Astyanax mexicanus: one gene and its partners. The protein of the gene in region 3 purifies or fractionates together with the protein of the main gene of each other region. This does not show direct contact. Links are inferred from orthologs where the notes say so. Each region holds a gene or a part of one and is shown on either strand. Other genes may lie near its edges. The genes, in order: paip1, larp1, pabpc4 and mkrn1.

What was found.
Region 1: the proteins of pabpc4 (region 3) and paip1 purify together in Homo sapiens (co-immunoprecipitation; 3 studies listed by BioGRID and IntAct, with this or other methods). This does not show direct contact. The link is inferred for Astyanax mexicanus from reciprocal best matches to the Homo sapiens genes PABPC4 and PAIP1.
Region 2: the proteins of pabpc4 (region 3) and larp1 purify together in Homo sapiens (affinity purification with mass spectrometry; 3 studies listed by BioGRID and IntAct, with this or other methods). This does not show direct contact. The link is inferred for Astyanax mexicanus from reciprocal best matches to the Homo sapiens genes PABPC4 and LARP1.
Region 4: the proteins of pabpc4 (region 3) and mkrn1 purify together in Homo sapiens (affinity purification with mass spectrometry; 3 studies listed by BioGRID and IntAct, with this or other methods). This does not show direct contact. The link is inferred for Astyanax mexicanus from reciprocal best matches to the Homo sapiens genes PABPC4 and MKRN1.

What each region holds. Positions count from the first base shown.
Region 1 is NC_064429.1:12,542,642-12,550,635, reverse strand, and holds the start of paip1 (polyadenylate-binding protein-interacting protein 1), read left to right. Parts: upstream 1-4,977; coding exon 4,978-5,116; intron 5,117-5,122; exon of another isoform or gene 5,123-5,265; intron 5,266-5,981; exon of another isoform or gene 5,982-6,101; intron 6,102-7,921; exon of another isoform or gene 7,922-7,994. UniProt on the Homo sapiens protein: Acts as a coactivator in the regulation of translation initiation of poly(A)-containing mRNAs. Its stimulatory activity on translation is mediated via its action on PABPC1. Competes with PAIP2 for binding to PABPC1.
Region 2 is NC_064424.1:34,118,827-34,126,716, forward strand, and holds the start of larp1 (la-related protein 1), read left to right. Parts: upstream 1-4,871; 5' UTR 4,872-5,184; coding exon 5,185-5,572; intron 5,573-7,890. UniProt on the Homo sapiens protein: RNA-binding protein that regulates the translation of specific target mRNA species downstream of the mTORC1 complex, in function of growth signals and nutrient availability.
Region 3 is NC_064421.1:41,826,777-41,833,878, forward strand, and holds the start of pabpc4 (polyadenylate-binding protein 4), read right to left. Parts: upstream 3,015-7,102; 5' UTR 2,483-3,014; coding exon 2,287-2,482; intron 1-2,286. Other genes in the region: zpcx (zona pellucida protein C), read right to left, coding at 4,983-5,004, 5,596-6,580, 7,052-7,102.
Region 4 is NC_064409.1:10,277,067-10,283,918, forward strand, and holds the start of mkrn1 (probable E3 ubiquitin-protein ligase makorin-1), read left to right. Parts: upstream 1-3,849; 5' UTR 3,850-3,930; coding exon 3,931-4,004; intron 4,005-6,852. UniProt on the Homo sapiens protein: E3 ubiquitin ligase catalyzing the covalent attachment of ubiquitin moieties onto substrate proteins. These substrates include FILIP1, p53/TP53, CDKN1A and TERT.

The DNA of each region.
Region 1 (7,994 bases), on a different chromosome or scaffold from region 3:
AAACTGACAGCTGAAATCTCTGAGCTTTTTGCATCCTTCCCCAAAAACATGAAAAATCTTTGTTTTCAATTCATTTTATAGTTGTGTTTTGAGGCTGCCATGTTGCCACTCTTCAGAGAAGATGTAAAGAGGAGGAAAAACTTGCAATTGGCTACATGAACCCTTTCTGATAATTAGATTCACTTGTGTATGTAGGTCAAGGGTCAATGAGCTTACCAAACTAATTTTGTGTTCCAATAATTAGTGCTAAATATATTCAAATCAATACAACAAGGGTGCCCAAAGGTATCCATCTGCCTATTTTTGTTTAAGGAATAATTACGCACTTTCTGTAAAAAATAAAGTTAATTTTACTTCTCAAATATCACTGTGTTCGTCTGCTATATGATATATTTAACTGAAATTGCTGATCCCAACAACCAATTTCATTCGTTATTGCCTGCAATGGATGCGACAAGTGCTTCCATCATTCCTGTGTAGGAAACCCACCTGAAGAAGAGGAGTTCCTTTGCCCATTATGTAAACATTAAATTGCATATACAGTATATTGACCTCCTAAAAAGTGACTGAGCTAATTCAGGTCCAGGTAGTTTGTCCCAGTAATCTCACAATTAATTATATGGAGTTCAGTGATGAGAGCTTTCAGACTGGTGTCTTTATACTGCACTCAGCTGATCCCCATTTCACTAACTGAGAGACTAGTAACACCAACTACCTGAAATTGGATAATTAATACTTTTATACAATCACTTACGTTTTATATATCTATACACTGACATTTTGTGTATTTGACCGTTTAAGCCAAATGTGATAGACATTGTACTTTTATTTTATGTAAATAAATGTGTAAACCCTTCAACCAACCTTGTTTAATGGTTCTTTTTCATTGTCTCCGTTTCAAACTGCAAAGTTCTATGTTTAGAACACAATATTATTTCAATCTTTGTCATTATAAATCACAGCACATAAAAACAGATGGAAACTGTCCTGAAAAGAATGAGTATATTTAGGTCAATAAATATGTTTACTTTTTGTATTGTGAATAATTTGCTTTAGTAATGTAATACATTTAGCAAACAATTAGTCTTTGTCTACTCCAGGATTTTGACATACTCTAAAATAAGCTTTTTTACTTGTTAATGAAATAAAAACCTATTGCCATGCAGTGGATCTTGATAATTATCCCCTACAGCTGTGACATTCAGGGGTAAAACTCTTGTTTTCTTGACCTAAGATAACTAGTCTAGATAACTAAAATAACTAGACTTAAGTACAAGTCTTTTTAGAAAACATGTTTATTCTATGAAATGTAGGAGTTTACAAAACATACAGAACATTAGCTGGTGGAAAAATAAAATCATAAAATAAATCATTCTCCAATATTAAAACATTCTACATGTGGTATCTCAAACAAATATACATATAATACTGTGTAGAAAGAGGATCACACAAAGTAGCCATAGAGTGGCTTACATACACACACACACACACACACACACACACATATATATATATATATATATATATATATATGTATATATGTATATATGTATATGTATGTGTGTGTGTGTTTATATATATATATATATATATATATATATATATATATATATATATATATATATATATATATATATATATATATGTGTGTGTGTATGTATGTAAGCCACTCTATGGCTACTTTGTGTGATCCTCTTTCTACATTATATATATATATATATATATATATATATATATATATATATATATATATATATATATATATATATACACACGCTAATAAACACATACAAACCAGTTAACACATTTTTTAACAGCACATTTCCCCTAGTTTTGGTAATATGCAGTACTTCGCACGGTCACATTCTAAAAAACAAGACACAACAGAATGTATGTTAGACAAAATAAAGCAAAAAATAAATAATTCAACATTAATGATAATGTTACATTAGATATTGGTAATCAACATGTATTTGGATGCCAAATACATCTAAACTGATTAAACTGCACTGACATGAATTAACAGCCAGAAAGTCCAGGAAAGGTAATTAGATATTTATATACCCATATATAAATATAACAGCTAGCCAACGCCAGTCTGTTAAATGGGGAATCTGGCAATAGCATGGTGTACGAACCTCAATAGTTACATACACAAGATATCTAACTAACTAAAACAGAAATAAACTGATTTCGTCAGTCAATAATAAACCACAGAGATAAGAGGACGCTCTACATATCTATTAAATAGCTAATTTACTCACTGTTTATTTTCATCCAGTCACCCAGTCTCAATGCCAGCTACCTAACAACACATAAAACACCTCACCTAAACTGGGCTAAACTAGACTCAAATAACGTAACCTCACCTTGCCTCACATCACTTCACCTAAACTAACCCAAACTAAGATAAACTAGGCTTAACTAAGCTAAAGTAAGCTAAACTAGCCTAAAGTAAGCTAAATTAGGTTTAACTAAGCTAAACTTAGCTAACTTGACCCTCTCCTAACCTAACGTAATTTCGCGCTCTGAGCCACTTCCAATCATGAACACACAACCATTTCAACAATAAACACTAGTTTTAAGAGTTTTTACGAACGTGAGGACGAGTAAACAAGTTATAGTTTACTTACGACTGTAGGAGCTGTGTTCTCCCAGCAGCTGCCACGGAGCTTCTCCACAGGTGAAAAAAGACGCAGCTCCCACAGGCTTCAGAGCTGTGTTGTGATTGGCCGCTGTGAGCTCGATTAGCTCTGCGCTTGATTGGTCATTCTGTGTACCCCGGATGTTTCCCTGAAATTTTTCGACCTGAATTTTTTTTACCTGAATTTTTACAACTTGAATTTTTATAACCTGCATTTTTTCGACCTGAATTTTTATAACCTGAATTTTTACAACCTGAATTTTTAATCCCTGAATTATTTTTTTGCTACATGATTTTTTTTTTTACTTAAAAATTTTGTACCTGAATTTTTTAAAACAGTCCTTATCTGAAATTTCAAGACCTGAATTTTAAATATCTAAATATTTGAAGGTAAATTTTTCAAGAACACCAGATTACACACTCTTTATTTTCAAGAATCATGTTTTTTTGTTTCAGGTTCTGGTGACACTGATTTAACTCCATACAATATAATCAAGCAAAATTAAATTGTATATACAATTTAGAATTTATTGTAATGCTAATATTTTTTTTACAAAACAATTCTTATTAGTTTGTTTTATGGTGATCTTGTGAAAGTAAGTTTGAATTTTGGTCACATTTTCACAATCTGTAATAAATTTATAGAACCAATTTTAAATGAAACCCAGCACGCACGGATTGATTTATGTACTTCAGTCAAAAGACAAAAAACTGAAAGTTTTAGTCTGTCGGGTTTGTAATTGGCGATCCGATAAAATCAACCAACTGTGCTACACAGGTAACATTTGTGTATACGCGGCTCTCTCTATACGGCTCTCACGCACGGAGAGCCGCAAGGCTTTTAGGCGGGCCCTCCTATCAATCTCTGATCTGATAATCTAATCAACAATCCCCACCTCCAACAATACGCACCACCAAAAAATAAAAATAAAATAAAACACCCCCGCCAAAAAAAACACCCCCCCAAAAAGCTAAAGTGGCAAATAGCTAAAGTGTTAATATTTGGGTGAAATAAGTCTTTAAATCTGTAAGCAGTTAGCTAAATTTAGCTAACTGCTTACAGATTTAAAGACTTATTTCAGACTTATTTGGGTGAAAAAAAACTTTAAATCTGTAATTAGTTAGCTAAAGTAGTAATATTTGGGTGAAATAAGAATTTAAATCTGTAAGTAGTTAGCTAAAGTAGTAATATTTGGGTGAAATAAGAATTTAAATCTGTAAGTAGTTAGCTGAATTGATAATATTTGGGTGAAAAAGCCTTTAAATCTGTAAGTCGTTAGCTAAAGTAGTAATATTTTTGTGAAATAAGTCTTTGAAAGATTAAGTTAGATGACTTACAATTTAAGTAACCTTTATTCTGTGTTCCTAGTGCTTTACAGTATGCTGGCTTGAAGGTACAGAGTTCACTCTTTAGTTTATTGTATATATTTATATTCTATTTACTTGTTAATTTCACTGTAAAGCAATTGGATTGCACTTGTGTATTAAATGTTTGCTATTGCCTTGCCTTTTGTTTGTTTATTAATTAATTATTTGATTGTACCAAATAATAAAAACCTCTGGAATATAATCAAGAGGAATATGGATGATCACAAACCATCAAACCACCAAACTGAACTGCTTAAATTTTTTGCACCAGGAGTAAAGCAGCATAAAGTTATCCAAAAGCAGTGTGTAAGACTGGTGGAGGAGAACATGATGCCAAGATGCATGAAAACCAGGATTATTCCACCAAATATTGATTATTTCTGAACTCTTAAAACTTTATGAATATGAACTTGTAATCTTTGCATTATTTGAGGTCTGAAAGTAAATAAATGCTCAAAATGAGAATATTTTTATTTGTAATTTGGGAGAAATGTTGTATGTAGTTTATAGAATAAAACAACAATGTTCATTTTACTCAAACATAAACCTATAAATAGCAAAATCAGAGAAACTGATTCAGAAACTGCTATAAGTAATATATTAGTGTTTAAATGTTAAGTTATATATTAGTAAATGTGTGTTTTTAGTGTGTTTTATGGTAAAGAGCGGCTGCAGTTGTCGGCAGGGCTCCAGCAGTAGGTGGCGCTGCTGTTCGGCGGGTCTGCAGAAGCTCCGCGGCTCCAGAAGAAGCGCTGGGAGGTGTTTGTAGTCCAGATTGGATCTGTAACCGGAATATTCAGTAAATAAATAAGATCTCCGGCCCCCCGCTGTGACCCCGCCGCCCGCGCGCCCGAGATAGCACACACACCGGACTCGATCAGCTTTAATCGATTAATCTGACCAGACTCGGGTCCGGCGGATGATCGTGTGAGCTGTGTCCGCCTCTGCTCGCTCTCAGCTCGGCCATGGCGGAGAGCTTTGACCGCGCTCCCGGAGCGGAGAGGACCCGGGGGAAGGCCGGCTGCCCCCCCGGCGTGAGAGACGCTTACCCCGGCCGGCAGGGCGAGGAGGACCCGGGGGCTTCGGTCTTCAACCAGTGCGAACCTCTCAGACAGCCCAGGTGTTCTATCATTTCATCCTACCCATCGAGTGGTCCTACCGAGGCTTACTGCGCATGCGCACATCATTTTTACGTCAAATGACGATGGTTTTCGGGTACGCCCATAATTTTATCCTACCTGGATATAAGTACGGTGAGTTAACTTGATCTTTATAATGTTTTAACGTCTATTTAATGTTCATTGTTTGCTTTAAGCTTACTATATGAACTAGGCGTCATGTTAATGTCTGCAGGAGTGTTTTAAACGTGTACATAGAAGAAAAAAATACCTTGAGTGGTTAAAAATGGTGCGGTTAAGTTCAAAACTATTCAATGTTTGTAACGTTAACGTTACTCACGGTGGTTTCGGTAGTTTGCGCTTACCCACGTGTAACTACGAGCCTTACCTCATTAATTTGGTGGGCTCAAGAGCACAAATATATTCAGAGGCTGTTTTAGGGCTTTTGAGCAAATACAGGTACATTAGTCTGGAGTTAAGACTTGTCTTTTAGCCTGATAAATGTACACAGAAGTTAGCTAGCCGAGTGAATTAAAGCTAGCCTTCTAGACACGGTTAGTTGAGCCTATTGTCTACGAAACTGAAACTTAAACAGGCCAAACCATGAATACTTAATATACAGTAATATAGTATAATATATATATATATATATATATGTCTGTGTGTGTGTGTGTGTGTGTGTGTGTGTGTGTGTGTGTGTGTGTGTGTAAATATATATGTGCATATATTTGTGTGTGTATATATATATATATATATATATTTCTATTATAATAGAGTGGTATTATCAGTGCTTTTTGAAATTGTTTTGGACTTTAAATTGACCCTTTTCTTCCATCCATCTTCCGTGATAGCCATGGAAAAGAAGTGGGAAACAGTATACAATCTTCTGTCTTCGGGATCATACCCATCAGACTTTGACAAATCACAGCGGCAGAACCTTCTGAGATATGACTCCAATTTTCAGATAAAGGGTTAGTTTGTATAAGCATCTCTCTTTTTATGATCTCCTTTTTGCTCTCTCTCTCACCCACACACACACTCAGATGTATAGCATATATATGGTGATTATGTTCAGAATTCAGAATTACAAGCAAAAACAGTACTCCCTTCATTAAAACTATAGGTAGGATAATTCGATAGCCTAATTATGATCATAAAACAGTACTTCCTTCATTAAAACTATAGGTAGGATAATTCGATAGCCTAATTATGATCATAAAACAGTACTCCCTTCATTAAAACTATAGGTAGGATAATTTGATAGCCTAATTATAATCATAAAACAGTACTCCTTTCATTAAAACCATAGGTAGGATAATTCGATAGCCTAATTATAATCATAAAACAGTACTCCTTTCATTAAAACCATAGGTAGGATAATTCGATAGCCTAATTATGATCATAAAACAGTACTCCCTTCATTAAAACTATAGGTAGGATAATTTGATAGCCTTAATATGATCATAAAACAGTACTCCTTTCATTAAAACTATAGGTAGGATAATTCGATAGCCTAATTATAATCATAAAACAGTACTCCTTTCATTAAAACCATAGGTAGGATAATTCGATAGCCTAATTATGATCATAAAACAGTACTCCCTTCATTAAAACTATAGGTAGGATAATTTGATAGCCTAATTATGATCATAAAAGAGTACTCCCTTCATTAAAACTATAGGTAGGATAATTTGATAGCCTTAATATGATCATAAAACAGTACTCCCTTCATTAAAACTATAGGTAGGATAATTTGATAGCCTAATTATAATCATAAAACAGTACTCCCTTCATTAAAACCATAGGTAGGATAATTTGATAGCCTAATTATGATCATAAAACAGTACTCCCTTCATTAAAACCATAGGTAGGATAATTTGATAGCCTAATTATGATCATAAAACAGTACTCCCTTCATTAAAACCATAGGTAGGATAATTTGATAGCCTAATTATGATCATAAAACAGTACTCCCTTCATTAAAACTATAGGTAGGATAATTTGATAGCCTTAATATGATCATAAAACAGTACTCCCTTCATTAAAACCATAGGTAGGATAATTTGATAGCCTTAATATGATCATAAAACAGTACTCCCTTCATTAAAACTATAGGTAGGATAATTTGATAGCCTAATTATGATCATAAAACAGTACTCCCTTCATTAAAACCATAGGTAGGATAATTTGATAGCCTAATTATGATCATAAAACAGTACTCCCTTCATTAAAACCATAGGTAGGATAATTTGATAGCCTAATTATGATCATAAAACAGTACTCCTTTCATTAAAACTATAGGTAGGATAATTCGATAGCCTAATTATGATCATAAAACAGTACTCCCTTCATTAAAACCATAGGTAGGATAATTTGATAGCCTTAATATGATCATAAAACAGTACTCCCTTCATTAAAACTATAGGTAGGATAATTTGATAGCCTAATTATGATCATAAAACAGTACTCCCTTCATTAAAACTATAGGTAGGATAATTTGATAGCCTAATTATAATCATAAAACAGTACTCCCTTCATTAAAACCATAGGTAGGATAATTTGATAGCCTTAATATGATCATAAAACAGTACTCCCTTCATTAAAACCATAGGTAGGATAATTTGATAGCCTTAATATGATCATAAAACAGTACTCCCTTCATTAAAACCATAGGTAGGATAATTTGATAGCCTTAATATGATCATAAAACAGTACTCCCTTCATTAAAACCATAGGTAGGACTGTAAAATCTCATTGATAATCTAATAAAGTATTTAATTGTATTATGTAGATGGAGATCTGTTTTTTGGGAATCAAAGAAGGGTTATTAAAACCAAAGAAGAAGCCATGTTGCTGTTCCAGGA
Region 2 (7,890 bases), on a different chromosome or scaffold from region 3:
AGTTCTGGAAAGTTATGGTGGCCACACAAAATATTGACTTTAAAGTTTAAAGGTCAACTCGGTAACGTGAAATTAGGACTTGGGGAACATTCATGTGCACCTGCCAAATCTGAAATGCAGCTCAAGTTTAGGTACTGTAGTGTTGAGGTTCTTATAGTAGACGTTGTGTTTGTTGTGTATATATAAATAAAATTGTAAATTTGTGAGAAAATCAGTGGGGAAAAAAGTGACTCAGTTGTGAAGTGACTCTCTGATTCAGTATCAGACTGAACTCTGATGAACTCGGTGACTCCGGGGCGGTTCAGTGATCAGTTCGGCTCCTGCAGTACAGAACCCCACCAGGCGACATGCTGCGGGAACGCTGTGCACGCGCACGTGCACGCTCTGCTCTTACCACGTGCGCGCGACCGCTACGTGCTCACGCCCCCATTCATTTTACGGGCGCGTGCGCGGCAACGGCGACGGCCTATTCGACTGAGCTGAAAGAACCGATTCTTTCTTTTAATGATTCAGTTCAGCGAGTCTTTGATTCAGAAGCTCACTGTGTTGTCTCCGGCAGGTGAGAGTAGATTCGGTTCAGTAAATGAGTCGAATGTGGTTTCGGCTCATTAATTGAGACAGACAATTCAAATAACACTACAGTACCTGAATGTTTAATAGATATAACATATATATTTTTTTTAACATTTAGCCGCTGGTTATTGCTTTAGTGCAGTTTTAGCATTTTTTTTACACTTCTACATATCTAACAATCACTGACATATTATTACAGTTAATATTCAGGTTTTCACGTGTGACTTCTGCGCAATATTTATGTAGAGTACTACAGTCCCTGCATTTAATGTCCCTTGTATATTCTTTTTATTAGATCTATATTATGATAATCTGACTGGAAATAAGTTTACCACTTAAATATTACAGTATTCTGCAAATTGTTAGAACCCAGTTCTGCTTGATTTCTTTAATGTAACATAATGTATTGTTGTATGTATTTGTGTAAATGTGGTAATTTGTATGTGTCATTTAGTTATCCTTTACAACTTCATGCATAACTGCTTTAACAATATTACATTATTACATTTATTGAATGTATAAAATTACATTCTAACATTTATTACATTATTAAATGTATTGCATGTATGATATTACATTATAATTTTATTAATAACTTTAAAACTAAGTAACACTTGCGGGAATGAGTTACTGTTGTTATATGATTTGTATGAATTAATATAGTAAAATCTTACTTTAGTTATTCTTTTATATTTTATGTAATGATCTTTTCTGATTTATATTTATATGTAATTAAACCTGATTTATCATAGATTTTAAATCGTGAATCGGCTCAAGTTTAACTGATACTGTATTTCTATCCCTAACCAAAAGTATAGTAATAATTCTGTTTTTTTATTGCAGTCTGCAAAACATGAGGGTTCTGTAGCAAACTGAAGACATTGTTAATACAATGTTAATATACTATTTGTGTAAATTCATATTAGAAGCATAATAATAATAAACTTTTTTTAAAAAAATCTTTTTTTTATTATATATTTTGATGTAAATAAATCTGCTTTTAATCACACTGATGCTTCAAAACACTTGACATTTAATCATTTTTATATAGAAATTAGATGTAATCAAATATTCTTTATCGTCACACAGACAGATGCTGTAAAACACTTTTTTACAATGCTTAATTTTTTCAGTTTTAATATAATAAATAGATTAAATTAAATATGCTTAGATTCCGAGTGGTTCAGGGGGCTAAGTGCTGCCACTATGATCAGGAGATCACCAGTTTAAATTCTGTTCATGTAGCTTGCCATCGACTACTGTCACCCTGCGAGAGAATAATAGACCTTGCTCTCTCTGAGTGGGTAGATGGCGCTCTTTCCTACCCCTAGGGTGATGTCGATTTGCACAAGGTGTCTGTGAGCTGATGTATCAGAACCAAGTCACTGCACTTTCCTCTGAGCACGCTGGATACTCGGCAATGCTGCATCAGCACAGTTCGAAAAGAGGCTGAGTCTGACTTCACATGCTTCGGAGGAGGCATGTGCTAGTCTAAAACACTCCTGGTGTTGGGGCATCACTAGTGATAGGGGGAGTCCTAATGAGTGGGTTGGGTAATTGCAGAGGTGAAAAGTAACGAATTACATTTATTCATGTTACTGAAATTGAGTAGATTTTATGAGTAATTTGTCATTTTTAAAGTAGTTTCTAAAAAAGGTCCTTTTACTTTTACTCAACTTCATTTTGACACAAGTAACTTACTTCGCTACATTGGAAAACTCCCTGTTACTGAGTAAAAATAAATTGCTGGGGGAAAAAATTGTTTGAATAAAAAAAAATTGGAGCGGATGCTCATGCGTGGAATAACGAAGCAATGACGTCCTCATACAATTCAAAATGTGCCCCGCCGGACAGAGCTGTCAGCTTTGAAAACTTCCACATCAAACCTGAGGAAGCATGTGGTGGTATATGTATATTCTAAATTCACTGGTTAGCTGTGGATTTACTTTACAAACACCAGTAATCTTCGTTCATATGCAGCTACACAGATTATACAATCTTCTGTATTTAGTAAAATATCCAGCGCAATAATAATCCCTTCATTAAAAATTGTACAACCGAACCTAACCTGTACAACCTTCTTTGACTGAATTCTGCCTTCAGGGTTTTCTGAAAAACAGCAAAGGTTAATGAAGACAAAAGGTGTTTGTTATCCTGTATGTTAATTAATTTACTAAGGTGTATTAACTCCCAAATTAAAAGTATATTAAATTCACTGAAAGCTGTATGAATTGCATCTGTCTGCGAATGTAATTGAGGCGAATATAACTTAAAACCCTTAGCTAATGATGATGGATTATATAGATCCCTTTTAGACATCAAACAATGCTAAACTAAACTGGAGACATATCAAACTGCCTAGGTTAGCTAACAAGTTAGTTAGCTAGCTAATCTACCTAACGGAGCTGCGCTACGTTACGTGCTTAATCTGCGTCCACAAACTGAGTTTATTAGAGAAATGCTTCATGATGTTCGCTGTGTTTATGTTCCGCTGATTTTATCACACATAGTTGTATACCTATATGACCATAACTTTTTAACAGTAAAAAAATGGATAATAAAAACCCTGTTCTTTAAAAATGTTTTATGGGGTGGTCTAAACAAATACTTAAGACCACCCAAATTATTATGTGGAATATTAGTTCATTAAAAACTATTTAATTTATGATTTGTTGTACTTTTTTACATTAAATAATTAAAAGTAACTATGTAACTTTTACTCAAAGTACATTTTAAATTTAGTACTTTTTTACTTTTACTCGAGTAGATTTTTAGATGGGTAATTTTACTTGAGTAGAATTTTAGCAAAGTAAAGCTACTTTCACTTAATTACAATTTTTCAGTACTTTTTCCACCTCTGGATAATAGGTCTTGTGAATTGGGGAGAAAAATGTATTTCATTATATATACATTATATACTTTTTTGACATTGTTGAATCTTTTTTTAATTATAAAGGTTGTAATCAAATATGCTTCACTATTTCACAGACACTATTAATTTAAACCACTTGATTTAGACACAGAATCAATTAATTTCTTTGATTTTATTTTCTTTAATCTTTTTTATATTATATTTAGTTGTTATCAAACATGCTTTACACTCATTACACTCTTCAACTTGTTTATTTTTCACAATGTATAGTATTTTAAAGTTAAATACACTTTATCTTCACACAGATGCTTCAAAAAACTGGATTCAGACTCATGAATCGAATCAAGGTTTGATTTTCTTTTTTACAATTTTCATATTTGTTGTAAACAAATATTCTTTATCATCACACAGACAATTCCAGTTAAAATCACTCGCTTCAGAAGCATTTATTTACAATATTATTTTTTTTATATTATAATTGAAAGAAATCAAATGCTTTATGCTTGTGAATTGACTCACATTTCTTTTTACAAAGTTGAATCTTTTTAAAATATAATTAGATGTAATCAAATATGCTTCCTCATATTTATCTTTACACAAGATTTATCTTTACACAAATGCTTCAAAACATGTATTTGCTTTAACACATTATTTTACAGTTTTTAACATTTGACAATTTTACAGTGAGGATATTTTATATAATTATTAGATGTAATCAAATGTGAATCAACTTACGCTTTATAAACTTTTTATGTTAATAATTTTATATTATAATCAGATGTAATCAAATATGCTTTATCATCACACAAACATCTACTTCAAAACACTAGGCTCTGACTCATGAATCGACTCAGGCTTTTCTTTGCACAATGTTGAATCTTTTTAACGTATAATAAGATGCAATAAAATATACTTTATCCTCACATAAATGCTTCAAAACATTTTTTTTTTTTACAATTTAACAGTTTACATTTGTTTAAATTTTGCAATCAGGTCATTTTTAATATTATAATCAGATGTAATAAAATATGCCTTACCATCACACAAATCCTAAAAAACACTCAAATATTTTTTTTATAATATAATTAGATGTAATCATGCTTCACAAGCGCAAACTTCCAATTTAAAGCATTACATACAACTGTTTAATATATTATAATTAGATCTAATCAAATACGTTTTATCATCACACAGATGCCTCACAAAACTTGATTCAGACTCGTGAATCGATTCACGCTTTTCTTTCTACAATGCTGAATCATTTTTTAAATTATAATTACATGTAATCAAATCTGCTTCATCATCGCTCAGACACGGCCGCTTACAATTCACAACATTCGACTCCGACTCGCGAGTCGGCTCAAGCCTTCCACAGAAAGGGGCGCAGTTCAAACGAACCGATTCGTTAGCGACTCGAACACAGGCAGCGTGCGCGCTCCCGTGAGTGGCGTGGTGGAGTTTCACCCAGCCTGGCGGAGATCATCAGCACGAATCTAGCTGTTTTTTTTTTTGAGAGCTTCATGATTGGTGTTCGATCCGGTTTTACATGTGTTGATCCGAACTCGCCACTCTGCGTCTTAGACTGAATCCTTTTGGTCTAGGGGTGGAGTGGAGGACCGAGCCGAGCCGAGTCGAGCTTCTGTTTTTTTCCGGAGGGGGTCGGAGAGCTCGGGAACACGTTTTTGGGCTGAGAGGGGGAGAGGAAAGCAGGGGAGAAGAAGGAAGGAGAAGACGGAGTCATGGCCGCTCAGGTGGAGACCCTCCTGCCGAGCAACCCTCTGCTGAAGAAGGGGGACGAGGAGCGTGAAGGCCCGCAGACGGAGCTCCAGCAGGCCGAGGGAGCGTGCGGGAGAGCCGGCCTAGAGCAGAGCCTCAAGCAGGCGAAGGAGGAGAGCAACCTGCAGGAGAAGGAGAAGAACATGACCATGGGCCAGCAGGACAGGGTGGTGGTGGTGTCTGGGTCTGAGAAGGGCGAGGAGGGAGAGCAGGGTGGAGAAGAAAGCGGCAAGAGGAGTAACTTTAATAAAAAGGAGTTTACTGAAGCACCTCCACCCAAGGTGAACCCCTGGACTAAGAAGATGAACGCCGTGACCGTGGTCAGCGTGAACGGACAAACACAACACAACGGTTGGTAGCTAACTAGCAAACTACCTAATCTAGCTAATTCTATCCTGTAGCTGACTCCATTCGTGTTTATTAACCTTTAATTTTTGCTATGTGTTCCCTAAAACCCCTCGAAACCACGTTAAACCTACTGGGTGTTGCAGAATCTGACTAAAACCTGGCTTAAACCCAGCCAAACCCTGACTTAAAGCATTTTTGGCTCGTACAGATCCAGAAAGTGAAAATCCACTCCAGTATTTTGTACCAACTGCCTGCCTGGCGCTTGTCGCAGCGAGAGCTAGCCCAGCAGTTGGTACGAAATCTTGGAGTGGATTTTACTTCCCCGGACACGGATTCTCCACCTCTAACCCATGTGTTTCATGTGCTTCTGAGATTCCAGCGTTTGGCCATTTCAGAGTTTATAAAATGACGATGAAACGTAAAAAATGCAACAACACCCTATGTGTTTCGCCTTTTTAAAATGAATTTCGCCTAATCCATTTATACCCGTCTTTAAAAACAGCAAATGCAGGCGTTAATCTGTTTAGACTGGTAGCTGGCTAAATGACATGTGGTTGTTAGCATAAAAGCTAGCTAGCCGAGCCCTGCCAATGATCGAGTCGCTTGAGCTAGCTTTAAATACCCCAGTTCTGCTGATTTCAGGGCAGATTGTAAAGGTATTCATCGGTCTGATTACAGGGGGTGACAGGGGATTTTTGATGGCATTAAAGCTGATTACCTGAGCGATAGGAGTGGGATAGGTGGAGTTTAGCATGCCAGCAGTAACGAAAACGGGCTGAAAGTATTGGCTTTAGCTTTTAGGCTAACCCCACTAGCTTGCTTTAGCTAGCCTGCTAGAAGCAGCTATGAACTATTGGCATTAGCTAACCTAACTAGCTTCCTAGCTAACAGAAATACATAGACATGCATCTTCATAAATGGTGATCATTATTTGCAAATGTATTGCATTATAAAATATGTTATAAACAGAACATATATTTTAGATAGTTTGTTACTTAACGTTACTTGAAAAATAGTCTGTAGGCCTCTCTCTCTCTCTCTCTCTCTCTCTCTCTCTCTCTCTCTCTCTCTCTCTCTCTCTTTTACACGCGCACACACATACAACTATAGCTGGTCTTGATATTGCCCTTACATTTTAAGTTAATACTGTAATAACAAAATGAGAATTGAGTTGCATGGTTATTCCATTATATCACCATTCCATCAGTGGAATAAAATACAGTGCTTTAAAGTAACAGGAACATTATTAGTTACAATAATTTGTCTGGAGCAATATATGTATATGACTAGGCTATCCTGTCAAGCCAAGTAGCATCATCAAGCTATTATATTATCCTTTTGGCAGTGACCTAAAATGCAGAATCTTAGACATCTTTTCAAACAATAATCGTCACAATATATCACCCTATGAAAAAATCATTACCGTTACATGCACTATACACAATGAAATATTAAATCAGATATGTAGAGTACGTAGCATATTCATAAGTTTGATCTTGTGTAATAAACAAGCCATTTTTGTATATTTATAATCTATAAATGTAAATATATTTAGTGTACATTTTAAATATATTTTGCACCATATGGGTAACTTAACAACTTATTGGCCTTTTATTATAACGTAATTGGCAAATAATAAAAACTATGTCTTTAAAGTGTAGGTTAACATTGGCTTTAGCTTGGTGGCATATAAAAATCGTACTGGCTATCATTATTAACTATTAACTTTTGTATACTGGCTTGTAATATTATTACAATGTTATTGGCAAATAATAAAACCCTTGGTTCTATAGTATAAGCTATCATTGATTTTGGCTTGGTGGCTAATAAAAATATTTTTTTTGTCTATAACAGTGTTGAACCATGAGCTTTCGCTAGCATTCTGGCTTATTATTGGTATTATTGTTGTTTTAATTATAAACTATTGGTTTGTAGTGCCTAGAACTGTAAAAGCATTGCCTGTGTAGTATGTGCTGGCTATTGTTATAAACTATTACCCTAAGTACATTGGCTAATGCAGTTAGCTAGCTAGCTAATATTAGCCAGTAAAATAGTAACCAGTGGTTAATATTATAACTTTAGCATAGCAGATTTGTTAGCACCCTGGCTGCTGTTGTACACCAGTGAATGTAGCATTCTGCATTAGCATGTTGCTAACTGGCTGCTTAAGGATCTCAGTCTGTAGCGAGAGTGATGTTGAGCTGTTAGCGGCTAGGTTAAGTATGTTAGCAATCTTAGCTGACATACTCCTGCCCTAAACAGGAAGCACTAAACTTTATTGTGCTGTAGTGTTTAAATTATTAATTTTGTGGTGTTGATGT
Region 3 (7,102 bases):
TGAAGTCTGTCTTCTGGAAAACAAGTTTGTTAATTTTGCACATTTGGCTGCTTCTTCTTCCATCTTCTTTCTTTTTTTAATATGGCCTTTTCGGCTCCACCTGGCCTCTTTTTACCCTCCATCACAGTCGTCTGACGCTTTGTGCTATTCTGTTGCTGCATTTAATTTGATCGCTTCAGAAAAGACCACTCGTGGACGCAACCAACTCAAACATTTGGGAGAGGAGAATTCCCTCAGATGGTTAAACCCGACGTAGGGGCTGTGTTGTCAGACGAATAGAGAGTGCATACGTAGTTGAATGGCAATGAATGCAAGAATAAGATTAGAGAAGTGAGGGTAAATAATTTTTTCCGTCCAACCGGCCCAAACTCGCCCCGGCCCATCGGGAATAAAATTATATTAATAATAATAATAGTAATAATAAAAGTGTGTGTGTGTGTGTGTGCAGTTTTAAAAAAATCTACAAAATATTCAGAATGCTAACTAAAATAGAATATGTCAAAATAATGTCAATATTATTATTATTATTATTATTATTATCATTATCCTATATTAGACTGTACTATTTATTTTATTAAAAATGTTTATTCTTTAAATTAATAAAATATTTTAGTTACTGTCACCAAGAACATTATTATAAACACACCCTGTAGCTAAATGGCCTAACAAAGTACTACAGTATATTAACCTAACTAAAATAGAATATGTCAACATCTAATAATACGTACTTGTAACTTTCTGACAGGTAATATTCTCACTCTAATGGTAACCTAATCCTAATCAAATATTATATACAGTTATCTTTCACTAGTGGCATCAAATATTTTCTAAGGTGATGTTATCGTAAAACAGTACTGAGGGAGCTGTGCTGAGCTGTGAAATGGTAAATTCATGTGCGTTGTGTCTGACCCGTGTGTGTAAACCTGTGTAAGGAGAATGAAAATGAAGATTTGTGCAAAAGAAACACTCATTCATAAATTCGTCAATTAAATTCTGAACGACGGAATTAATGCGTTGCTAAAATATATCATAGAACCACACAGCCATACTTGAAGTAGCATAGAAAATGAATGTGGCTTATTTTAGACCCACGCTGCCCGTTTGAGCGGCAGCGATACAAAAAGGGCTTTTATTTAAAAAGTAAGAAAGCAAAAAATAATATAAGGATGTACCATGATCAAAAACAATTTAATTAAGGAATACCTTGAATACTGAATGATTCGGAATATTACGATCTCATAGTGAACAGTTTTTATTTTTTTAAGAGTGACCCTAAAACGTATAGAATCTCTACACAGATCTGCTAAATGTGTTGCTGGATTTTGTGTGTCCGGTTGATTTCCTAATTTCTCCATTTATATGCTGTGGTGGTCTCTGTATTGCGCGTTTTATTAAAATCCCCAATGCCTTCGAGAGAGAGAGAGAGTGTGTGTGTGTGTGTGTGTGTGTGTGTGTGTGTGTGTGTGTGTGTGTGTGTGTGTGTGTGTGTGTGTGTGTGTGTGTGTGTGTGTGTGTGTGTGTTGGCTGGCTCAGGTCTTGCAGCATCAGACAAATTAAACATGATTACTAAATAGGCCAGCAATGAAAGAGTTGATAAAAAATAAGTACATTTGATTACATTTTGTTATGTTTTAATCAGGGACTACATTTTGCAAAGCCCAGTTTAGCCAGAAATACATGAATCTAGCACATCTAATAACACAGCAGACATTTGAAGCACTTGGGGGCTTTTATTTTAACAGGAGATATAGTTCCCTGACAGAGTCAGAGGGCTGAACTGCTTGGAGAAGGAGGGGATATGTATATTCTGTCCGTTTTTGCATATGGAACGCCTGGAGGCGTTATGAAAACGCGTGGTGGCGTTATGTAAGCGCCTGGCGCCGCCACACGCTCTTAAACGCCTGGCGGCGCCTCGCGTTTGTTCCAAGGCGTAAAAGTAAGCCCTGCACGGCGTTTTGGACGGCGTTTTTTAAGTATTTCGCACGCTTTAAGCGCCGTCAGACCCAGGCGAATTCTGACCCATTTGGCTTGCCATACACCTACAGTTACTGCTACACACACACGTGCTCCACTACAGAAGCAGTCTGCTGAATGTCCACCACACACAATCAGAGCTCCATATCCCCCACCCACCTCAAACAGCTGAACACACACACATACACACACACACACATGTGCTCCCAACCATCACAACCGCACAAACGGAACACACACACACACACACACACACACACACACACACACACAACCGACACACACTTCAGCCTGCAGCGTGTCCGTACATACCGTCCGCCGGCTGCTGGAAGTTGACGTAGGCGTAGCCGAGCGAGCGGCGCGTGATCATGTCCCTGCACACGCGGATGGAGAGCACGGGGCCGGCCGGACTGAACTTCTCGTACAGCATGGCCTCCGTGATGTCCGGGTGGAGGTCTCCCACGTACAGCGAGGCCATCGGGTAGCTCCCCGCGGCGGCCGCGTTCATAGCGCGAGGTCCTCGGTGTCCGGCTGAAAACGGAGCGGCGGAGGAGCGCGAGGGTCCGGGCTGAGTGTGTGTGTGTGTGTGTTAGTGAGTGTGTGCGTGTAGCAGAGGGAGAGAGAGAGGGATAGAGCTGTTTAGCCCGGCTCCGCTGCTGTTACCTGTGGTAAAGTTTCCGAGCTAATAAAAAAAATTATAGGTGGTCCTGAAAAAAAATAAAAACCAAAAAAATAAAAATAATAATAATAATAATAATAATAATAAAAAAACTTAGAATAATTAGTCCCGGAGCGCGCAGAGGCCTGTTCTGACTTTGAGAGAGAAAATAAAACGCTTGGTAAAAATTAAAAAATAAAAATGTGTTGTTGTTTTTTCCTTTTTTTTTTTGGTTTAGTCCGCGAGGTGTTGGTTTTTTTATGAAGATTTTCTGTATTTTGTAATTTTTATATGTTTTTTATTTTTTTAAGGTAACTAAAGAGGAGTGAGTTACACACTCACGGTTGGGTGGCCGGGGAAAGAGAGCGCGTGGGAAACGCATGGGAGCTTTATAAGTGCAGCAAGGAGCGGTCACACACACACACACACACACACCAAGAATGCGCTGTTAAAGGGAGAGGGACGCTGCGATCTGTGACAGCTGTTCTGTTCCCTCAGCCGCCTGCACAACAGCGCCCCCTGCAGGCAGATATCTGAGCTCTCAGGTCACATGGTCCGCAGGCAGCGGAGAAGGTGGACAGTAATACAGTATATAAATTAGTCGTGTCTTTTCTGTTGACAAATTCATCATATTACACTCTGAGAACTTTCTACTGCTTTTTGTAATAAGTACATAAAGATTTAAAAAATATTTTTTATTTTTAAATGATTTAGTTAATTACTTGAATTTCTTGCCTCTTTGAGAGCATCAGTAAAGTTGTGAAGAGGTAGAGTTGGTATTCAGTGAAAAGTTTTCTCTGATGCTCTCACTGAATAGCCCTATTTGAGTAATGCTATAATCCATATGATGGCAATAACTACTTTACTTAGTAAAGAAAAAATGATTTAAGAAATAAAGGTCAGTCAATCCCAAAAATGTAATATCTTTTTGAAAGCATCCTCAAGTGCAGTCACTCATCAGAGCGCCCCAGGAAAGAAAGAGCAAGAGTGACCACTGTTGTATGGGATAAATTAATCAGAATTACCAGCCTCAGAAACTGCAAATTAACAGCGACCCTGATGAAAGCAACTAAATGCTTCACAGAGCAGGTGGTAAAGTTTCCAATCTAATAAAAAATAAATAAATAGGTTGTCCTGAAAAAAAAAGAAGTAATAATGAAAAGAAAATAAGAAAAAAAATAGTCCTGAGCACACAGAGACCTTTTGATGGAGCACTTTAGAGTATGTTTTGTTCAAATCTCTGCCCTAGTATTTTATACTCTGTCTGGCCAAGAAAAAAAAAATCACCACTTGAATTGATCTAGGCTAATCATGTGGGGTTGCTGCAGTTTGTCAGGTCTTTTTTATACACAGTCTATGGTCAGGACACATGGGCCACAGGCAGTGGTAAGGGCCAGTAATACAGTATATTTACAGTATATATGAAAAAAGACAGGAACATGAGTCTAGTCATTTGTGGCACTGGACACAACCAACAAAAACAATCTGTGTGTATAGATAGTGTGTGTATGACACCACTTTCTGCTGCCCTTCCTCCTCCTTCTCCAGGTCAGGGTTCTTTTCCTTCTCCATTCTTTCCAGCTTATGCTACTTTTCGGTCAGCATCCAGGAGCTTCTGAGAGTCCAGTTTGGCCCAAAGCTCCTCCACAACGCAGTCTGTCGTTCTGCAGTGCATTCAGCATCAGTCTTTGGCTCACACCTCTTTTCCTCAGTCTACCTGCTGCTCTATCCTTCATCTCCTCAAGCTGCCCATTCCCTCTCTCCACATCAGATATGCCATCTTTATACTAACTATAACTTAGTACAAATACAATGCACAAAAACATTTACATCAAAAGTTACAAAGAAAGGCATCATTTCTAGATAAATTAGTTAATCACTGAGGTGCTGCAGATACCTTGTCAAATATTCATGCATCAAATCAATATGTTAACTTATAAAAATTGTTTTTGTAAAATGAATAATTTAAGGGAACAAATCTGACATTTAGATTTTTGGATAGTCTACGCCTTTAAATGCAATGGGTAGAGGTCTAGATTGCATCATTGTATAATATTCACACCCTGACGGGATCTAAATAGTGCAACACTGCTATCTAGTGGGCAGGGTTTAAAACCAATTAAGCAACGAACGAATGAATGTCTTCATGTTTACCAATTACAATGGTGTTCTTAGAAATATCGCAATAAGCTATTTAAACACTTCTTTTGGACACCTTGTTCAACTTCAGGTCACAAAATGAACAAAGTCTTTCATCAGAAGTAAAGGAATCAACATAATGAGTTTGCAAATTTGCATTTTATTTACACAGTTTAAGCTTTCATGGTTGTACAGCAGTACTTCAGTCAGGTCACAACATCTTATTCAGCTTCCTGCAAGCACAGAGAAAAGGAAAGGTCAGTGTGTAAACAGGACAAGAACCAAATGTAACCAATATTATTGACAGTTGGAAACGGTAGTTTTTTTTTTGCCATTCAGACCTTATTTTAGCCATTGATGTACAAAAAAAAAACAAAAAATCTAAACTGTATTAGTGTAGTTACTCCAAGACATACCAGCATAGTAGCACATGGTCAACTAAAATTAGAGGACCACACTACAGGTGTTAAGCATCTGAGGGGTATGTAACTGCAATAGAGGATAGTCCATAAGGCATTGAGCCATACGCAGTTCAATGTGAAGCCCTTAAAAAACACTTACACTTTAAATTTAGATTTTAATTCATTTATTCCGAGATATTTTAAGTTTAAAGTTTAGCTCAGTAAAGCACTTTAAGACTTTTTTCAGCAAGATACCCTTCTTGTACAATTGTGCTTAAAATACAGAATTTTGGTTTGGCTCTGGCTCCCATGTTAACTATAAATCTGGTCAACAATTACATCAGCCCCAGTACAGTGCACAAACAAAGGTTTGGGCAGAAAACTACCAAAATGAAAGTTTAATGTACAGCAAAACGTCATTACCTCATTAGCGCCATCAGGGAGGACACCAGTTCTTTCTTAGCACTCAGTTTTGCCGACTCCTCCCGATCATCCAAACCAGGCGTCCCCTGCTCTTCTGCATAGTCAAGTGAGCTTGATTCATCAGAAACTCCCTTAAAAGTCAACTCTGACTTCTTCAGAAACTCAGGCTTATCCAGTACATCTGCATTAGCCTTTTTAAACAAGAGTTCTGTGTGAGAGACAACCAGAACATCACCTTCATCGTGGTCTTCAATCAGTTCTGGAACATCACTTTTTTGCACATCATACATAGAAGCAACAGAGTTCTCGCCTGAGGAAACCTTCTCCAGCTGTGGCTCTCTAAAATTTGTGAACACATCACCCCTCAGTTCCTCCTCAGGCTTGTCAGGAAGGCTCTCCAAAGGTGGCTGAGGAGCTTCTGCATAGTGTCCACCACTCGGTAAATGTGGGGCATCAGCCAGAGGATACCCATCAGCCATGCCCAAAAGTTCTTGATATGCAGGTTTAACTGCTGGAAACACCTGCTGTGGATCTTCTCTCTGCAGACTTGCTTCAAATTTGGCTTCTGGTTTCCTCCAAAACACATCAGCTGGAACGCTGCTTTGACCGGATAGAAGATCAGCTCTACCCTTCCTCTGAGGATAGCCAATTTCTATCTCAATGACTGGGCTAGACTGAACACCCATCATAAGCCCTGGTAGCAAGAGTGACAAAGCATCTCCTAGGCCTCGGCCTACAGCCAAATCTGCAGTTACAGGTGATGTCTGCCAGGGGGAGCGGTTGACCTTAGGGCTGCCAGACACAGATGCTCCAGAGACAATCCAACCCTTTCCAGTTGAAGAGGTCAATGCTCCTGATGGAGACGCACCAGACAAGATCCAGGGTCTTCTATTGGAAATGGTGGGAGTTCTGCCAGTCAGCGGCTGCTTCTCAAGTTCCTGTTCCTTGATTGATAGTGGACCAGTGCTCACCACTGCTTTGAACTCTGAAAACAAGAACATTGCTTTAAATAACATGCTCAGTCCTGTTACAAAGGACTACAACAATGGAGGGGTCAGATCCACAACTGCATGGCAACTACAGTAGTTTAAAGTTGATAATTTACTTATTTGTAGTTTCAAGCATACAGTGTGGATTAAAACAAATATTGCAAAGAGACAATTGGCTAAGAGAATGATCACTACGTAACAACGCAATAGGGATGGGACAAAATAATCAATATTGCAATACATCAATATGTGGCATCAAATATTTGAAACTGATGCATGAGATGCAGTATGACCCTCATCCTTACCAAATTACTGCAGTTTTTTGATGATTGAAGTAGTGATGTAAACATAAGTAGATTGGATTAAAAATGGAATGGACATTTCTTGGTGCACGTAAACTCTTAACTGGAGTATTCTGGGATTAGTGCATGAGTATTAGCCGACTGGCGCAACCAATAAATACTGACCACCAAAAGAAGCCGGATATTCAGAGGGGTATCTGCATTTTGTTGCACAGC
Region 4 (6,852 bases), on a different chromosome or scaffold from region 3:
CAGACCCAAGAGATTATTCTGTATCTCATTTAGTTTTTTTGTTTTCTGATCCACCAGAATATGGTGAACCTGTGGTCTTGTGGACCACTTTAAGACACCACTGATTCAAAATATTAATGTTAATAGAGTATATTGTGGCGTGGAAGAGGAACGAAGACCCGTGAGACTCATGCTGAATGCTCAACAGCTCCTTTATTGAACCGGCTTGCCACTCACTTACAGTCTTTAACAAGACTAGGAGAGCTAAAACCATTACCCACAGAACTCTAATAGCCCAAAGGCCACCAACCCAGCCACCAAAGGCCACCAACCCACCAACCAGAACAGAAACATGCCTGCAGGCAGCCACACACACAACCCAGAGCCGCCACAATATTAAAAAAAGCACATAATATCCTATCATAATATGGCTTATTCCTATTTATCATTTCTACCTCTACCCCTTGTTCCTAATTGTCACCCTTTCACTTAAAACTGAGTTATAAAGGAAAGTGACAGAAATCTTCCCCCAATGAAAGGGAATAAAGTTTCAAGAACCTGATATGCTATCTAAATAAATAAGTAAAAAACAATACTGCTTCATTATCAGGCTAATAGCTAAAGAACATTGTGCAGTGACCCTGCCAGTCTGTTGTGATAGCAGAAGAGACATAAAATTGTCTTATATCTCTTGTCTGGGAAAAAAAAATCCACAAATATGAACAGTAGTGCTAAGAAATGAAAGTACAGTGTAATAATCCAAAAAGTGGTTTGTTGCCTGAGGGGCAACACCACACCATAAAGGGTTAAGGATGATGTTGTTGAGGGTACAATGTATGGTGGAATATATAGGCACTTGTAGACTATTCTTTATTCTAACTGTGTACATAAGAGGTTTTCCATCATAGAGCAGACCTGAGTGTTGTCTGGTTGACTGGGATTATGCTTCACTTCATTGGTACTATGATGTCAGAATTTCCGAGTAGGAAATTTCAACTGGAACCCTGACCAACCCAAGTTCAGAATCCAAGATGGCTGCATCACTCATTAACACAGATTATTAACAGTTCTTTGTATTTGTGTCTCACAGAGCTTAGATTGGGCCCAAATTTCCAGCCCGACCCAACCTGAGCCCATGGACGTTCTGCTGAAGCTCGACCCGACCAGCCCTATAAACTGACTTTGTTAGCCCAAGCCCAATTTAAACCCGACATTTTTTTTGTCAGTAGATTGCTAAAACGGAGCTTTTAAAGACATTTTTAGGCTGTGTGAATGAGCAAAATCTGTACAGAATGGTGTTAATTAAAATTGCAACACTAAAAAAGCATAGACCTGTTATTCAATAAAAATGTTTATTAATACATGTGCACAGTGCTTACTGCGCAGTTCCAGAGCTGCGAGATTATAACATTCTAACTTGTGCAACTTTATTATATTATATACTATATTGTTATTATCACGCCATAGCTTTATATAAAAAAAATACCATTAAAAAACAGACGCCTACTTCACAGACCATTTTCTTGAGCCTGACCCGACCCAGCTGGAAGAAAGTGGTGTGAAATCTACTAGTAAATAGTATTAATTAATATTACTAACAATACTAACCTGAGGCAATGCTAAAAATAATAATCTTGGACATAAAAGGTAAGATACATTTTGCATGGATTTGCCATAAAATGATAGTAATACATTGTCAGGAGTTTTTGGCTAGTGTTAAAAGTGGTATGCGGTCAACTTGCGTTTGACATTTTTCCCAGTTCTGACATCCAAGATTAATGGAACTATACCTTAGTTATATACCTTAATAAATTAATAAATCTCTTTTATAAGAAGGATAACCCATTAATATTTGTCCAATTTGCAGTTAATTAATGCATGCATAGAAGACAGACAGGTGAACAAAGCCTATAAGCCCCATTGATACAGAAATAGCCTGGGCTGCATAACAGAAGTGCCCTCTTTACTTTGCACCTCATCAGCAAACAGTGAGAAGATGAACACACTCAGAAGCAGGAATACAGAGCTTTTAGAGACTGCTTTAGACTAATTGGTTCTTCAGATCTCTTATAATAAAGACCAGTGGGAAAGAGTGAGCCGCTGTTGCCACAGGGACACACAGGTAATATTTGAACAGGTGTGTGATGACATATTGTAGAACAGTAGGTGGGTGTCACTTCTGTCCACAAAACACAGCTACTGAGCGGCTCTGGTGTAAAGCTCTTTTAAGACACATGGACACATAGCTTCTACAGCACCTTTTCAGCCTAGTGGGATGATTTCATTGCACCACACAACCTTGTCTCCTTCCCAGCTAACAGAGAATGTTATAAGAATGTTAAGCAATGTTTTGAGACGGTAGGGAGGTAGGGGAGTTTTCCATAACATTCCCAAAATAACGTTCAACTCATTCTCTTTTCCACACACACAGGATGTCTAGCATCTCACTGTGGGCGTCAGTCCATCATCTAAAACTCAACTGAAGCTTGAGATGACTTGTGATATGTCTTCATATCGATCCCTTAGTTTTGTTTAAGAACAATTATCATTTATCCTTAACAACTCATGTTAAAAGCCTGATGCTGTCATGCAGGTCTCTTCTCCGCCACATTCAAAACATTTAAATATCTCCATAGAGACTTTAATCAAAGCTTTAAAGGCACTAACTATATATATAATTTAGAGACCACTACAGTTTCTGAATCAATTTCTCTTGCTATTTATAGGTATATGTTTGAGTAAAATGAATATTGTTTTTCTTCTATAAACTACGGACAACATTTCTTCAAAAAAAAAAAAAAAAAATCATTTTAAGCATTCATTTGCAGAAAATAAGAAATGGCTGAAATAAGAAAAAAGGCCAGAGCTTTCAGACCTTAAATAATGCAAAGAAAACAAGTTCATATTCAAAAAAAGTTTTAAGAGTTTGGAAATCAATATTTGGTGGAATAACCCTGGTAATCACGTTTTTAAAGGCATTTTGGCATGTTTTCCTCCACCAGTTTTACACACTACTTTATGCTAATCCTGGTGCAAAAATTTAAGCAGTTCATCTTGGTTTGATGGCTTGTCATCAATCTTTCTCTTGATTATATTCCAGATGTTTCCAATTTGGTAAACTCAAAGAAACTCATCATTTTAGTGGTCTCTTATTTTTTCCATAGCTATATAAAGTGGAAGTGGAACGAAAATTATACAAAGTTTTCAAAAATTGAATCAAATAAAAATCTGAAAAGTGTGATGTGCAAAAGTATTCAGCGCCATTTACTCTGAAAACCCTAAATAAAATCCAGCACAATGCAATTACATATATATATATATATTACTTATATATTACATATTCATAATAATAATTAAATGAAAAAACTTCTTAACACTGTTTATTATAGTTCCTACATGTAAAAAGCTGCTATCAGTGCAAGTGGTTTATTGTTTATGCCGTTTAATTTCTATGTGTTACTAAGAAACTAAGAAGAAAACATTTATAAATTATTAAAATGTTCCGTTAAAAAAATGCAATGTTTTTTTTCAACGTTTTTAAACGTTTCAGTTGTACTAGATTAATCTGAACATGATGTATCTGTGTGGAGAACACTGTTTATTAGATGTAATCTAGTTCACTTGAAAATACGGTACAGCGTGTCCCTTTAGTAAGTGGTTGTGAAGTGCTGCGTTCCAAATCGCACATTCCTGTAGTACGGGGCTTTAGCCGCTTCACCGCCTAGGCTTAGCCGCACAAATACACGGCCCTTTCATATTTGCATAATAATGAGCTAGTATGCTAGTGCGTGGTTTGGAACGCAGCCAGTGCGCTGTGCTGCTGTAGACGGTCCTCTCCGGCCCCCTGGCGGCGAGCGCTGGGATCTGTTTCTGCTCTTGTTGCCGAGGAGCCTCCGCTCCAGCGCGCGGCTCGCCGGAACATCCGGCTGCTGGGCTTCAACATAAACAGCAATGGCGGAGGCAGCGGCGGCACCTACAGCGGCTCCAACAACGGCGGGAGGCTGGACGAAGCACGTAACTTGCAGGTCGGTGGAATGCGTTGGAAGTACAGGTGTTGTCGTGTTATCAAAATGGCCGTGTGTTTAATGCGGACACGCCGTGTCTTGGCTGTACGGAGCCGCTGAAAACAGCGTCTTTTGTCGGGTAGAGAAACACAGAGGGAGAGAGCTGGATGTTTGTTGTTGTGATAACTCGATAGCTGGGTTAGCTATCAGCCAGACTCTCCACAGTAACAGCGGAGTAAACACGGCTGCTGCAGTGTGTTCAGCCTAAACGGTGCAGGGAACACGGCTGAGCTCGGGTTATCTCTCAGTACGAGAACCAGAACACCATTAAATAACGTTTCTCTGAGCAGTTTACTCGTAGACAAGCAGCTTGTTTATGGCAAAGTAAAGAAGTGAAGACAAGGATATTATAATGAGTGTATGAGAGTAAGTTATATAAGTTGTCAGCTAGCTAGTTAGCTTAGGAGAGCTCTATTGTTTGTAGATAGCTGTAAATATGAGGAACAATAGCCTAAGCGACGATTATTGAGGAATGTCAAGCCCTCTATGTGTAATTTGACGCTTTTATTACTTATATGTTGTGAATAAAACAAAAGTCATTTTTGTAGCTCCCCTTTTAAACAATAGCACTGCTCACTGAAGAATTCTCCAACTGATTTAACCGAGTTATCTAGCTTAACCAGTCTGTTAGTTCAGCATGGCATTAAATACTTAAACTAGTTATCTATTTTAACAAATAAAAGTATTTTTGACGTTGTTCATTTAGTCCCCCATTCAGCAATGGCATGCTCTCCTATAGATTTAACTTAAAGATCCACAGTGATAAAGACTCTACGCATGTTTGATTTATAAGCGTCTCTGTTAAGGTTGCTCGTCCAGCTTGTTTATAGGTTTTCTAGGTTAGCTAACCGCACTATGAACTCAAACTAGTGAAGCCACACATGTTGTTCTTCTGCGAACATGCAGATTCGCATAATAACAGCAAGCTGTTAACGTTTCTGTTAACGTCTTGGTCCTAGGCCTATTGTTTTGTAGATGATTGTTAACGTTGGGAACAATAGCCTTAGAGACGTTTTTTTAGGAATGCCAAGTGCTTTAGGTGTTTAGTAAATAGATTATTTTATTATTTATTTATTCTGAATAAACAAACGCTATTCATGTATTCCTCCTTTACCAGCTGATTTTGGTGATTTTTGTTAGCTATTAGCTTAACCTGTCTGTTAAAAGTATGAAAATTAACAGTTTTGAGGCAGATTCTGATAAAGACACAAGTGCAAAGACAAATAAATAGGGGTTAATTAATAGAAATGCACGGATGTGGGAATTCTGGGCTGATGCGTAAATCCAAAATGACACATGTAGCAATATGCCAATGCTAATGCCAATATACAGGTGCTGGTCAACAAATTAGAATAATTTGAAATAGTGCAATCATGAAATTCTTTGAATGCATTTTTTTGTGCAGAAAGCAAATCAGGTGTTCACCGCACCTGTCCTACTCGTTAGACTAATCACAGAACTCGTTACCTGCAAAAGAATTTGCTCAGCTGAGCTTTCCAAAAGGCCCATTTAGGCCATTTAACCGTGACACTGTTGTTTTATTGAATTAGAATAATGGAGAAACCGTTTCATTGAATTAGAATAATTTTTATTATAATTACAATCATCACTTTCTCAGTATTTTGTGGCTGCCCCCTTGGCTTGTATGACTGCCTGAAGTCTCCGCGGCATCGATTTGACCAGCTTGTCGCAAGTTTCCGCACTCACAGCTTCCCAGGCAGTGGCGATGTTCTGCTTCAGTTGGTCCAGCGTAGTAGGCTTTCTGTCGCGAATTTTCCGCTTGACGATGGCCCAAAGGTTTTCAATGACATTGAGGTCAGGCGAGTTGGCCGGCCATGCCAAAACTTCAAGCTGTTTTTTAGTGAACCAATCTTTGGTCGACTTTGCCGCATGAGCCGGTGCAAGATCCTGTTGAAATATGAAGTCTTCTTCGCCTAACTGTTCCTCAACAGTCGGAATCAGGAACGTTTCCAGAACATCTTGATATACGGCAGCATTGACAGTCTTCTTGAGGAAGCAGAGTTTCCCTACACCTCGAGCGGACATGCATCCTCAGACCATAACGCTCTGGGGAAACTTGACGGATCTTTTCACGCACTCGTGGCTGTAGGTTTCGCCACCACGACGCCAGACACGAGGACCTTGGTCACCGAAGGAGATGCAGAAGCGTGATTCGTCACTGAAGACCACTTTCTGCCAGTCTTCAGCAGTCTACTCGCCGTGTTCTTTGGCCCACTTCAGCCGTTTCTCCGAGATTTGAAGCCGAGTTCGCGCAGACAATGGTAAGTGGTTGATCTGGAGACGTCAGCGCCGGTCTGCTTGTTCCACAAGTCGGTGAGCTCGGAAGTGGACTTGAACCGGTTGCTGACTGCGATCTTTCTCAGCTGCTTTTTGTCGCGAGCAGAAGTTTTTCGGACGCCGGAACAGTTGGTGCGCTTGCTGCAGTTTTTCTTGAGAGCTTTGCAGATGGAAGACTGGCTGATGCCGAGCTGCTCAGCAATTTTAGTTTGGGTCAAGCCTTGTTGGCGAAGGGCTTGATTTTGAGCCACTATTCCGGTTGAGAGGTCGCGCTGCTTACCCATGATTGATTTTACAACTTAGAAATTCTACTCAACCCTGACTTTATACTGCACAGTGAACACTCTTCACAGAAAACAAAAATTCGAGCATTTATTCTAATTCAATGAAACAACAGTGTCACAGTTAAATGGCCTAAATGGGCCTTTTGGAAAGCTCAGCTGAGCAAATTTTTTTCCAGGTAACGAGTTCTGTGATTAGTCTAATGAGTAGGACAGGTGCGGTGAACACC